Linked DNA regions of Sus scrofa. The protein of the gene in region 3 interacts with the protein of the main gene of each other region in a biochemical or structural test. Links are inferred from orthologs where the notes say so. Each region holds a gene or a part of one and is shown on either strand. Other genes may lie near its edges.

Region 1 (4,264 bases), on a different chromosome or scaffold from region 3:
AGAGAGCCACCTTCAGTGTTTTGACCTGCTGTAAACCCCCACTACCAGGGTATTGTTTAAGCGGAAGAGTGAGGGGCCTCTGCTTAGGAAATAAAAGCAGGTTGTTGCGAGAAGGGGCTCAGGGAGCCAGGCCTGAGCATCCCGGCATCTCAACCTAGGACCCCTGCCAAGGGGGAGCCGCACGCAAGTAGGACATCCGTCGCAGACGAGGGGTCTCAGGAACTCGGGGGTCCTATCTGCTAGCCTCTGGACCCCTAAAGCCCCTCAGAGCCCCCAAGACTCCTTAGGAGCCGTGGCACCCCTGGTTTTCCTCATCTGTACCTGCCAAGCAGTGGGGGGGGGAAGAAGTGTACATTGTAACAAAGACACTGCATCTTCCCAGCAAAATGGCGGTGGTCCCGGCCACAGCTCTCTGAACAACTGCCACTCTCTGAGGATTAGTCAGGACTCAGGAACAGGACCCCCTCCTCGACCTCCCTCCCTGGAGCCCCGTTTCCCCAAGCTCCCAAAGCTCTCAGGGCCTCTCCTCATCCCCGGGGCCCCTGAGACAGTCTTTGGTTAGAGCCTGCGGGGCAGCTCCTTCACTGTGAACCGCCCCCCCTCATTGCCTTCAAGGAGCCCTGGGAGGGAGCCTGGACCCCCCCAGCTGGGCCCTAGGCGTGGGGGGCAGCGAACTCTGTCTCATGACACCCCCAAACTCCTGGGCTGAGGAAGGACTACAAATGAATTCCCGGCTAGGATATATGGGGGATGTGGGGGGTCTTTGAGGAGAGGGGGTGACTCGGAAGACCCTTCGTCACTCCCTCAGGGGACCCAGGCAGCACGGGGGGTCTGGCTTCAGGACAGAACCCCGACGCAGAGGTCAGGGGGCGCGGTGGGGGAGAGGAGACCGAGGAGGGGGCAGGGACAAAGTTTGAAAGTGCCCTTCCAACTCTTCCAGGGAAAGTTTGCCTGGGGGCCCCAAGGACAGAGAGAAGGTAGAGGTGCGGGTGGGCCCGGTAGCGGGATGACCCCCGAGAGGTGATCGGACCCTGGGGGAGCGACCCCTCCCCCCTGTCCCGGCTCGGCCCGGCTGGGAGTCGCCCGGCTCGGGGCCGCGTGTGTTAGTTGGGGCCGCTTTCCGGCCGCTCCGCCGGGCTGGGGGGTCCCGCCGCGGGCCGGGAGCGGGGCCCCCGGTAGCCCCAGGGGGGAGCTTTGCTACGGGGGGTTTCCCGCACCGGGGCGCCCCGGCCCCGCAGAGCCAGCCCCCCGCAAAGGGGAAATGTGCCGGCGCGCCGGCGGTCCTCGGCGCCGTTTGGGGCGCGTGGCGGGCGCGGGGGGCGGCGGCCGGGCCGGCGGGACGCCCGGCGGGGGAGCCCAGGGAGCCAGGCAGCGGCCCTGGGCGGCGGCGGGGGCGGGAAGGCCCGGGCCGGGGGGAAAGGTCGGATTTGCTCGGCAGAAGAAACACAGATGGCGGCGGCGCGGCGCCATTCCGGGCCCGGAGCAGGCAGCCAGCAGCCCTGTCCTCACCGCGGTCCGCCCGCCGCCGCTAAATACCCGGATGCGCCGCCCGAGCGCCAGACGCGGAGCTGGGAAAAGGGAGGCAGAGGAGGCGGAGGCGGAGGCAGAGCCGGGCGCTGAGACCGACCGACAGACCCGCGGGGCCGGGCCACGCAGAGCCGGCCCAGCGAGTGCCCCCCCTCCCCGCGACCCGAGCCAGGTCCGAGAGGCGGCCCCCGGCCTGGCCTGGGAGCCAGGAGCGCCCAGAGCAGATCCCGAATCAGGCTTCCCTCGGCCTCCGACGAGGGCTGGCCCTTTGGAAGGCGCCTTCTTCAACACAGGACCAGGCAGGCCACCATGACCGAGAACTCCACGTCCACCCCGGCGGCCAAGCCCAAGCGGGCCAAGGCCTCCAAGAAGTCCACAGACCACCCCAAGTATTCAGACATGATCGTGGCTGCCATCCAGGCAGAGAAGAACCGCGCTGGCTCCTCGCGCCAGTCCATCCAGAAGTACATCAAGAGCCACTACAAGGTGGGTGAGAACGCCGACTCCCAGATCAAGTTGTCCATCAAGCGCTTGGTCACCACCGGGGTCCTCAAGCAGACCAAAGGGGTGGGTGCCTCGGGGTCTTTCCGCCTGGCCAAGAGCGACGAGCCCAAGAGGTCAGTGGCCTTCAAGAAGACGAAGAAGGAAGTCAAGAAGGTGGCCACGCCAAAGAAGACGGCCAAGCCCAAGAAGGCTGCCTCCAAAGCCCCAAGCAAGAAGCCCAAAGCAACCCCGGTCAAGAAGGCCAAGAAGAAGCCGGCTGCCACGCCCAAGAAAGCCAAAAAACCCAAGACTGTCAAAGCCAAACCAGTCAAGGCATCCAAGCCTAAGAAGGCCAAACCAGTGAAGCCCAAAGCGAAGTCCAGTGCCAAGAGGGCCGGCAAGAAGAAGTGACAATGAGGCTTTTCTTGTGGACACTCCTGCCTGTCTCCTGTTTTCTGTAAATACTTTTTTCTTCTCACTTGATCCTCATCTGCAACCCTTTGCCCCTTCCTCGTCTGACTTTATAAAGAGACAGAATTTGGATTCCTCAGAAATTAGGGAATAATTCATTTCTCTTGAAGCAGTCATGCAAGGACAGCAACGACAAATCTCTGTAATGATGTACTTCTATTTTGTTTTGTTAATTTGTCATTAATCTACTTATGGTTTGGGGGATTTGGGTGGGTTTGTGTGTTTTGTTCAGTTGGATGGTTGATTCATTCGGAAGGTAAAAGTCGGGGGAGAATGGGGCAAGGTAGCTTGTGGCAAGATGACAGGGAGCCCAGCCTTGGTAAGGTTTTAAGTTGAACACTCCTCGTGAGTTGCAGAACGTTAGCGGAGAGGAGAGAGGTGGCATCAGTGGGACGGCAAAGGAGGGAGCAGGGGAAAAAAAAAAACAAAAAACCCTGTCTGGGCTGATTTGCACCTCCCAGTGGTGAGCAGTGGGGCATCCACATCCAGTTTCCTTCTCACTTCTGTTCCTTTGCCCCTGTAGCCTCCCTATTGTCCTAGGTGAGGGGAGGAGGTCAAAATGACAGCTGGTCCTAGAAATTGTGGCTTCTCAGAATCAGCTGGAGACTAGCTATTGGGAGACCTCTGTGGCTTCCGAAGGTCTCCTGTGAAACAGCAGAGGAAGCTTTGGGGGAAGGGTGGGGAGTGGGTCAGCCAAGTGCCTCAGAGTGCCCTGTTAAAACTTGGTTTTTTTCCACACCATCGGATTGCATCCTAGGAGGACCTTTTTTCCTTTTCGCCTGATTTTTGGTTCCTCCTGTACAAGAGATGGCTTTGCCAGGTGGTCGGCCGGGGCTCCAGCCCTGCCACCCGCCACTTAAAAACCTCCTGACCTCTTTACTTCTGAGTCTTTTATGAGTAGTTGTAGATGGGGGAGGAGGGGGGCGGGGAGTGGACAGTGAGACATACTGCAGTTGACTTTGAATTGCTAAGTAGTTTTACAGAGCTAGGTCTGTGTGTATGTGTGTATATGTATATATACAATCTAGGGCTAGGACTTAACGTTTCACACCCGGGAGCTGGGAGAAAAAACCTGTACAGTCTTTCCCTTTTTTGTAATAAAATGGGAAAACGCGCAATTGTGCGTCCTTCCCCTCCCCCCCCCACCATCCCAACCCCCTTTTACTTTTTAAACAAGTGTTATTTGTGCCGGGAAGAATTTGCTGTCTTTGTAATTTTGAAACTTTAAAATAAAATTGAAAAAAAAAAAAAAGGAAAAAGCCCGTGCAGTGTGTTTTTCTTCACTTCCAAGCCTGGAGGAGAATGCGTAGCAATCGGATGGGCAAGGAGTGGGGGAAATCTCGGGGGCGTTTGCACCTGAGAATGGGGGAGGGTTCCAAGAGCTCGACAGAACCGGGGCAACCCTGGGGCTAGAGCGTACAGAATGTGCTTCAGCCCGCTTCCCGGCGCCTGCCTCCCGCGCCCGTAGGGCATCCCCTTAACCTTCCGAGTGCTAAGTGTGCAGGCAGGGGATGGGTGGGGGTCTGGAGGCCCGGACGCGCGTTCCTCCGCCCCGTCACTTCCCCTCCCCCTTTGAGGACAGCTCCAGTCTCAATTTACAGACCAATCCACTTTCGTCCACTGCGGATCCCGCCAGGCCCCGCCCGCCCATCCCTGGGTCCGCCTCCCCTGCCCCAGTAGCGGGGGCCCCTCGCTCTGATTGGCTGTCGGGGCCCAGCCCCCGCCACGTGATCAGGCGGGGGTCTCCGTGCGTACAGCCCGCAGCGGGCAGGCGCGCTCCGGC
Region 2 (4,335 bases), on a different chromosome or scaffold from region 3:
CAAATAAACGGATAAATGGAGTTTCCATCATGGAGCAGCGGAAACGAATCCAACTAGTATCCATGGATTTGGGTTCGATCCCTGGCCTTGCTCAGTGGGTCGGGGATCCGGCGCACTGCCGTGAACTGTGGTGTACGTGGCAGCCACGGCTCAGATCCTGCCTGGCTGTGGTGGAGGCCAGCAGCTGCCCCTCCTAGCTGATCCCTAGCCTGGGAACTTCCATGTGCTGCAGGCGCGGCCCTAAAAAACAAAGCAAAACAAAACAAAAGCTGATAAGAGGATAGAATTCCAGAGAGAGATAAATGCAATGTGAGAGTAAAGCAGGAAAGGCAATGTGATGAAATGGGGAGCTTTCTAGGGAGGGTGGCCTGACCCCCCCTTGATCCTGTTATGTGGATAAAAAGGTTCTCTCTGGTGAAGGAAGAAGCTGTTAGGAATTAGCGTTTGCTCTGGCAGGCCCCTTGCTAAGAACTTTAAGCGGATCATCCCACTTGAACCTCCAGCTCCCTGAGGTAAGCGTCATCAGCTCCATTTTTACCGGAGAGGAGGTTAATCCGAAGCTCGGAAAGGCCCGGTGCATCCCCAAGGTCGTTCGGCCAGGAAGGAGCTGAGGGGAGTTTGCGCTGAGCTTACGTCTCAAATCCAAAGAATGCGAAAAGGCCCCCTCAGAGGTGGCCGAGACCTGGAAACCGGGAGGCTTCCTGCAGAGGCAGAATTTTCTAGTTCACCAAGCTGAGCGTTCCGCGGGTGGGGGGATGTCAGGGGGACAACCCCTCACCGCATCCCCAGAGCCATGCACTGCAGGCGTGAGGAGGGAGCGGCGAGCCCAGGGGACTCCACCTGCAAGAGCCCCGGAGGCCGCGGGGACTTCCTGTCAGGCCCCTAGTGACCGCCTCTTGGGGCTACACCTCCCTCCCGGGCGAAAGGCAGTGACCCTTCCTTTTATAGAGGCGAAAACTAAGGCAGACCAGCGAGGGCCGTGGGTGCCGGGACTGGGGTGTGGAGCTCTGTCGGTGTCCGAAGGTCCCTCGGTGTCCTGGGAACCAGGCGGGAGGGCCCCAGGAGCAGGTTCCGATTCCGCGTGGTGCCTCAGCCCCTCAGGCACACGGCGCAGCCAACCCCGCTCGGAGTCAGCGCCCAGGTGGCTCCGCGCTTGCGCAAGAGCCCCGCGAAGCAGGCGGGGCGGGATCGGCGACGCGCACGCCCGGACGTTGGGGGCGGAGCCCCGGCAGATTGGGCTCCTCTGATAGGCTGTCTCGGAGAGGCGGCGGGGTAAGAGGCGTTCCTGGGCGGGGCCTCGAGGCCGGTTTGGAATTTTTGGCGCGAGCTGGCTCCGCGCGCGTTCACGGGCCGTTCCCCGTCCAGAGAGTCCTCCCCGCCAGTGTGGGGAGCGGTCCACCGAAGACCCCGGCCAGCCTGATCGCTCAGGGGATCCCCGCACCCTCAGCAGACCGGAATCCGGGACCTCGCTGAGCTGCGCCCCGCCCACCCGCCCCAGGTGAGCCCATACCCTGCCCTGACATTTCCAGGGCGGAACAGCTCTCCCCACTCTTCTGCTTCCCTCGCCAGCATCCCCTTGTCCCCTGACAGCCCTTCCCCGGATCTGCCTCAGTCTCAACCCCCTCTCGCCCCCTTGCACATCCCCCTCCGACAGCCCCACCCCTCCCCTTTCTTGCCCTGCCCCTCTGCTAACCTCTCCCTGGCCCAACCCTGCCCCGGGCGGCTCCACCCACTTCCTCTCTCGAGGCTCCTGCCCCCAGACTGCTCTTGTCCTACTCCTTCTGCAGCTTCCCTGACCCCTTTCTTTTGGGACCCCTTGCCCCCAGCGACTGCTCCCCATTGAGTCGTCCCTCTCCAGGAAAACCCCCACAGACCTGTCCCCTGACAGCTGGTCTGCTCCACTCTGTTGGCCAGGGTTTGCGCCCACGGAGGTGACTCAGCTGTGGCCCTGCCCAGGAGGAACTCACAGTCTAGTGCAGTGGACCGTGCTCAGCAGATGTGTCCAGCCCAGTGAGAGGGTGAGGCCCCTGAAAGCTGCAGAGGTCGTCGCGGCCTGGCCTCCGCTCAGGACCACCCTGGATTCACCCGGAGCCCCTGCTCCTTCTACCTCCCCTGTCCCACCCCCAAAGCTGTTTGGCCATGCCAGGGGTGCTAGAACGTAAGTGACAGTGACATTGCGATGTTTTGAGAATTGGTTTAAGATGCGGGTGCCCAAGGTCCCCAAATGTCCTACGTCTGGGCCTGGAGTCTACGCCTAACCAGCACCCTAGGAGATCCTGACACCCTGATCCTTCACTTTGAGAAACTCTGGGATGGCAGAGCAAGGGTCCCCACAGGCTGTAGGGTGAGTCTTAAATGCAGACCTCTATGGGGGGGGGGTCCCCTGCCTCCCCCTCTCACTCTCCCCAGCACTTACCCCCCTGCTGGTTATGGAATCTTTTTTTTTTTTTTTTTTTTGTCTTTATTGCCATTTCTTGGGCTGCTCCCGCGGCATATGGAGGTTCCCAGGCTAGGGGTGGAATTGGAGCCATAGCCGCCGGCCTACGCCAGAGCCACAGCAACGCAGGATCCGAGCCGTGTCTGCAACCTACACCACAGCTCACAGCAACACCGGATTCTTAACCCACTGAGCAAGGGCAGGGATCGAACCTGCAACCTCATGGTTCCTAGTCAGATTCATTAACCACTGAGTCAGGGCTGGAACTCCAGGGTATGGAATCTTTTGATACACTGTGGCTTCCTCTCAAAATTGGACTCCTCTCGCATTTTTTCCCCCTCTTGTTTTTCTTTCAATTATGACATTATAGAAACACAGTAGCCCGCTCTGCCCCAACACAGAGTTGCTTATACCCATGGACCACTGTATTTTGTGTGTTCTTTCAATTACTGCTCAGAGCTTTATGTAACAGTTATTGAGGGGTCTGCATGCCAGGCGCTACACTAAGCCTTCCATGAAGTCGGCATTATAAGTCCACAAATCCCTGAGGCCAGGTGTGTTTTGGAATTCAAAGTGTCTCTGATTTTATTTTATATTTTATGTCTTTTTAGGGCTGCACCCGCGGCATATAGATGTTTCCAGGCTAGGGGTCGAATCGGAGAGGTAGCCCCAGGCCTACACCACGCCACAGCACTGCCAAATCCGAGCCGTGTCTGCAACCTACACCACAGCTCACAGCAACGCCAGATTCTTAACCCACTGAGCAAGGCCAGGGATCGAACATGCAACTTCATCATTCCTAGGCGGGTTCGTTTCCTCTGCGCCACGTCGGGAACTCCTATACTGTCTTCTATATTACATGATTAACTTTACTGGTGCTCTTTCTTTTTCACGTAGATTTGACTTACTCTTTGGGATCACAGGCTTTCAGTCTGAAGGGCTTCCTTTAGTGTTCCTTATAAAACAGGTCTGCTAGCAATGAATTTTTTCTGTTTTTGTTTATCTGCGGATATCTGTTCTCTTTTTTTACCTTTTTTTTAATCTTTTTTTTTTTTTTTTTGTCTTTTTTGTCTTTTGTCTTTTTTTTGTTGTTGTTGTTGTTGTTGTTGTTGCTATTTCTTGGGCCGCTCCCGCGGCATATGGAGGTTCCCAGGCTAGGGGTTGAATCGGAGCTGTAGCCACCGGCCTACGCCAGAGCCACAGCAACGTGGGATCCAAGCCAAGTCTGCAACCTACACCACAGCTCACAGCAACGCCGGATCGTTAACCCACTGAGCAAGGGCAGGGATCGAACCAGCAACCTCATGGTTCCTAGTCGGATTCGTTAACCACTGCACCACGACGGGAACTCCTAATCTTTTTTTTAGGGCAGCACCCGCAGCTTATGGAAGTTCCCAGACTAGGGGTCAAGTCGGAGATACAGCCGCCGGCCTACACCACAGCCACAGACATGTGGGATCCGAGCCACCCACATCTGTGACCTACACCACAGCTCCCAGCAATGCCGGATCCTTAACCCACTGAACAAGGCCAGGGATCGAACTTGCAACCTCATGGCTCCCAGTCAGATTTGTCAACCATTGCGCCACGATGGGAACTCCTGAGAGTGCCTTCAGGCTTGAACTTTTCACACTCTGCTTCTCATCAAGTCAGTGTTTTGCAGGGAGAACTTTGGAGCTCTCTGTTTTATGACCTCTTCCCTGGGCAGGATCCCCAAGCCAGAGTTCTGGAGCGGGGGGCAGGGACAGTGGTGCCTCGGAGTGGAGGCAGTAGCCCCTGGCCTGCCTGGCTTGCCTCGCCCAGGGTGGAACCTTCTCCCTAGGAATGAGCTGAGACTTGAGCCGTGGGGCTTCAGGATTGCCAGCCCACTGGAGCTGCGTTAGAGCTTCTGAACATGG
Region 3 (2,780 bases):
CTCAGTATTTAAATACTATGCTAAAACAAATTTCCCAAGGCAGGTCTAGGACAATTCGTTATCTTGACAAATTTTTTGTTGTTGTTCTTGTTTTTAAAGAATACAACTGTTAGTTGGGAATGGCAATGTAATAGAGGGGAAAAGTTTTAGAAACTACATTCATCCTTCTACTACTCTTTCTGATGTAGAAACAAGGCACAAGTGAGAAATGGGAATTCATCAGTAAAGGCTCTAATAACTAAGAATATAAAGCAATAAGGAAGACACCTATGTCTAAACTAAAAAGTAATATATACCAGAACAAAAAAGCTTGAAAGGAAGACCACAAGTCAGCAACCTAAAGGTATATTAACCTTGTCCTCTCCTTCAAAGTATCTATAGCTACCTATCAGATTAAAAACAAATGAACAAAAGCAAACTAATGCCAGATTCTCCTCTCAAAAGAACTAGTATTTTTTCTTATCTAAAATGGCGCTGGTAACACAATAAACAGACTTAATAGTTACACGCCTAAGTCAATCAGTATATGTTGGTTGTCTTCCTGTTTGCTAGGTAAAAGAAAGAACTGAGTACATTCAAAATAATAATGTTCAAGTCACTATAAAGAGCATTCCTTACCGAGAGCAGATCCAAGCCATTTTCATCCAAGTTTTTGACGTGGGATGCTAGGCTTCCTGGTTTCCACTTGGGAAATGTATTCTTATAGTCCTGTAAAGACTCCACTTCTGGCCACACTTCATTATTGGGAGTGCCCAAAGCTCTAAAAAGCCATAGCAAAACAAAAACTGAAGAGTTAAAGGATCAACATTAATCTTATTATATACATGTTGTCTTAATATTTAAAGTTCTTAACAGCTTACGTATAAAAAACAAAAATACCTGAAAATTCTGAAGAGTTGATCGATTTCTGAATCCCCGTGGAAAAGTGGTTTCTTAGTTGCTAGTTCGGCAAATATGGTACCTATACTCCAAATATCAACTGGAGTTGAGTAGCGAGCTGACCCCAGCAATACTTCTGGAGATCTATACCAGAGTGTTACTACCTATTACAAACAAAATATTTTACTTTGAATAAATGTGGCTTAAATATAAACATTTATATTTCATTAGGACTGTCCTTTAGAAGGCTGCATAATGGTCATTGATAACTGTTTAAAAGTCAATTAATTACATATAATATTAAATGTTAAATAGTTCATTTCCAAGTTATATATGTTGGGGGTGGGGGAGATATAAAAGCTTACCAAGTCTTCTCAAATGAGTAAAACGAGAAACTCAAAATAGTCAAGATAGGCTTCACTTTAAAAAAAAAAAAGTTCCCATTGTGGCTCAGTGGTTAACAAATCCGACTAGGAACCATGAGGTTGCAAGTTCGATCCCTGGCCTCGTTCAATGGGTTAAGGAACCGGCATTGCCATGAGCTGTGGTATAGGTCGCAGGCATGGCTCAGATCCCGCGTTGCTGTGGCTCTGGCGTAGGCCAGCAGCCGTGGCTCCAATTAGACCCCTAGCCTGGGAATTTCCATATGCTTCAGGTGCAGCTCTAAAAAGTAAAAAAAAAAAAAAAAAAAGCTAATTGGGAGTTACTGTTGTAGCTTATTCGTAATGAACCCAACTAATAACCATGAGGATGAGGGGTTCGATCCCTGGCCTCTCTCAGTGTGTTAAGGATCCAGCATTGCCGTGAGCTGTGGTGAAGGTCACAGATACTATTTGGGTCCTGCGTCACTATGGTGTAAACCACTAGCTGCAGCTCTGATCCACCTCTAGGCGGGGAACTTCCACATGCCACACTAGTTGCCTTTAAAGAAATAATAATAAAATAAAATAAAAATTTAAACTTTAAAAAAGCTGACTGATAACAGATTTAGGGGTGATACTGTACAAACACTAAAATCACAAATAAATTATTCAAACAGTTTATTAGTGGTCTGGAGCCAATCTACTATTTTAGCATGCCTAATATATCACAATGGAGGTCAAGTGCATCTGTGTAAGCCAATGGAAACCAAGTCATCCTTATTTATATAGCCATGGAGAAAATGAGAAAAAGGAATGAGAAAAAAAAGCCAAGACATCTGGTGAAAAGAGAACTGCTATAAGTTGTAACCTGGAGAAAGTATTTGGGCTCAAAGGTAGACACCTATACAGAAGAGTTTTCCAACAATCCTTAACAAAGTGATTCAATATTCACTTTCCCTCTAGATATCATCAGTACAACACTGACAGAACTTGTTTATAATTAGTAGCTTCTAAATACATCTGAAACAGTAGGCTTTAAGCAACAAAACCTCTTTTAACCGATCTTACTGTTTCAAGAGAAGATCCAATCAAGAGACAAATAACATGACAACCTGAATAGGAATTCTTACTATGAAGGATTATTAACAACAGAGGATTCAAATAATCAGAGATTGACTAGAAAGAATAACTCTAAAAAACTATATAGCAACGTCCTGCTGTAGAGCACTGGGAATCATATCTAGTCACTTATGATGGAACATGATAATGTGAGAAAAAAGAATGTGTACATGTATGTGTGACTGGGTCACCTTGCTGTACAGTAGAAAATTGACAGAACACTGTAAACCAGCTCTAATGGAAAAAAATAAAAATTACTTTAAAAAAAAACTATACACCAATGAAAACCCTTTCTTCCTGCAATGCCTCTCTAGCACCCTCTACTGATAAAGAGTAGCATCACACCAGCTGGCAAAGTAAAAATATTGAAAGGTTCCAGATACATTTTCAGACAGCAGGCAATGAAGGATAATGACTTTG

What was found.
Region 1: of the proteins of CDK1 (region 3) and histone H1.0, one has a biochemical effect on the other in vitro, tested with the Homo sapiens proteins (3 studies listed by BioGRID). The link is inferred for Sus scrofa from reciprocal best matches to the Homo sapiens genes CDK1 and H1-0.
Region 2: of the proteins of CDK1 (region 3) and PKMYT1, one has a biochemical effect on the other in vitro, tested with the Homo sapiens proteins (2 studies listed by BioGRID and IntAct). The link is inferred for Sus scrofa from reciprocal best matches to the Homo sapiens genes CDK1 and PKMYT1.

What each region holds. Positions count from the first base shown.
Region 1 is NC_010447.5:10,038,420-10,042,683, reverse strand, and holds histone H1.0, read left to right. Parts: upstream 1-1,441; 5' UTR 1,442-1,836; coding exon 1,837-2,421; 3' UTR 2,422-3,740; downstream 3,741-4,264. UniProt on the Homo sapiens protein: Histones H1 are necessary for the condensation of nucleosome chains into higher-order structures. The histones H1.0 are found in cells that are in terminal stages of differentiation or that have low rates of cell division.
Region 2 is NC_010445.4:39,200,537-39,204,871, forward strand, and holds the start of PKMYT1 (membrane-associated tyrosine- and threonine-specific cdc2-inhibitory kinase), read left to right. Parts: upstream 1-1,511; intron 1,512-1,820; coding exon of another isoform or gene 1,821-1,840; intron 1,841-1,914; 5' UTR 1,915-2,139; coding exon 2,140-2,158; exon of another isoform or gene 2,159-2,344; intron 2,345-4,335. Other genes in the region: uncharacterized protein LOC110260113, read right to left, coding at 431-701, 969-1,511, 1,821-1,840. UniProt on the Homo sapiens protein: Acts as a negative regulator of entry into mitosis (G2 to M transition) by phosphorylation of the CDK1 kinase specifically when CDK1 is complexed to cyclins. Mediates phosphorylation of CDK1 predominantly on 'Thr-14'. Also involved in Golgi fragmentation.
Region 3 is NC_010456.5:64,243,971-64,246,750, reverse strand, and holds part of CDK1 (cyclin-dependent kinase 1), read right to left. Parts: intron 1,044-2,780; coding exon 880-1,043; intron 761-879; coding exon 619-760; intron 1-618. UniProt on the Homo sapiens protein: Plays a key role in the control of the eukaryotic cell cycle by modulating the centrosome cycle as well as mitotic onset; promotes G2-M transition via association with multiple interphase cyclins.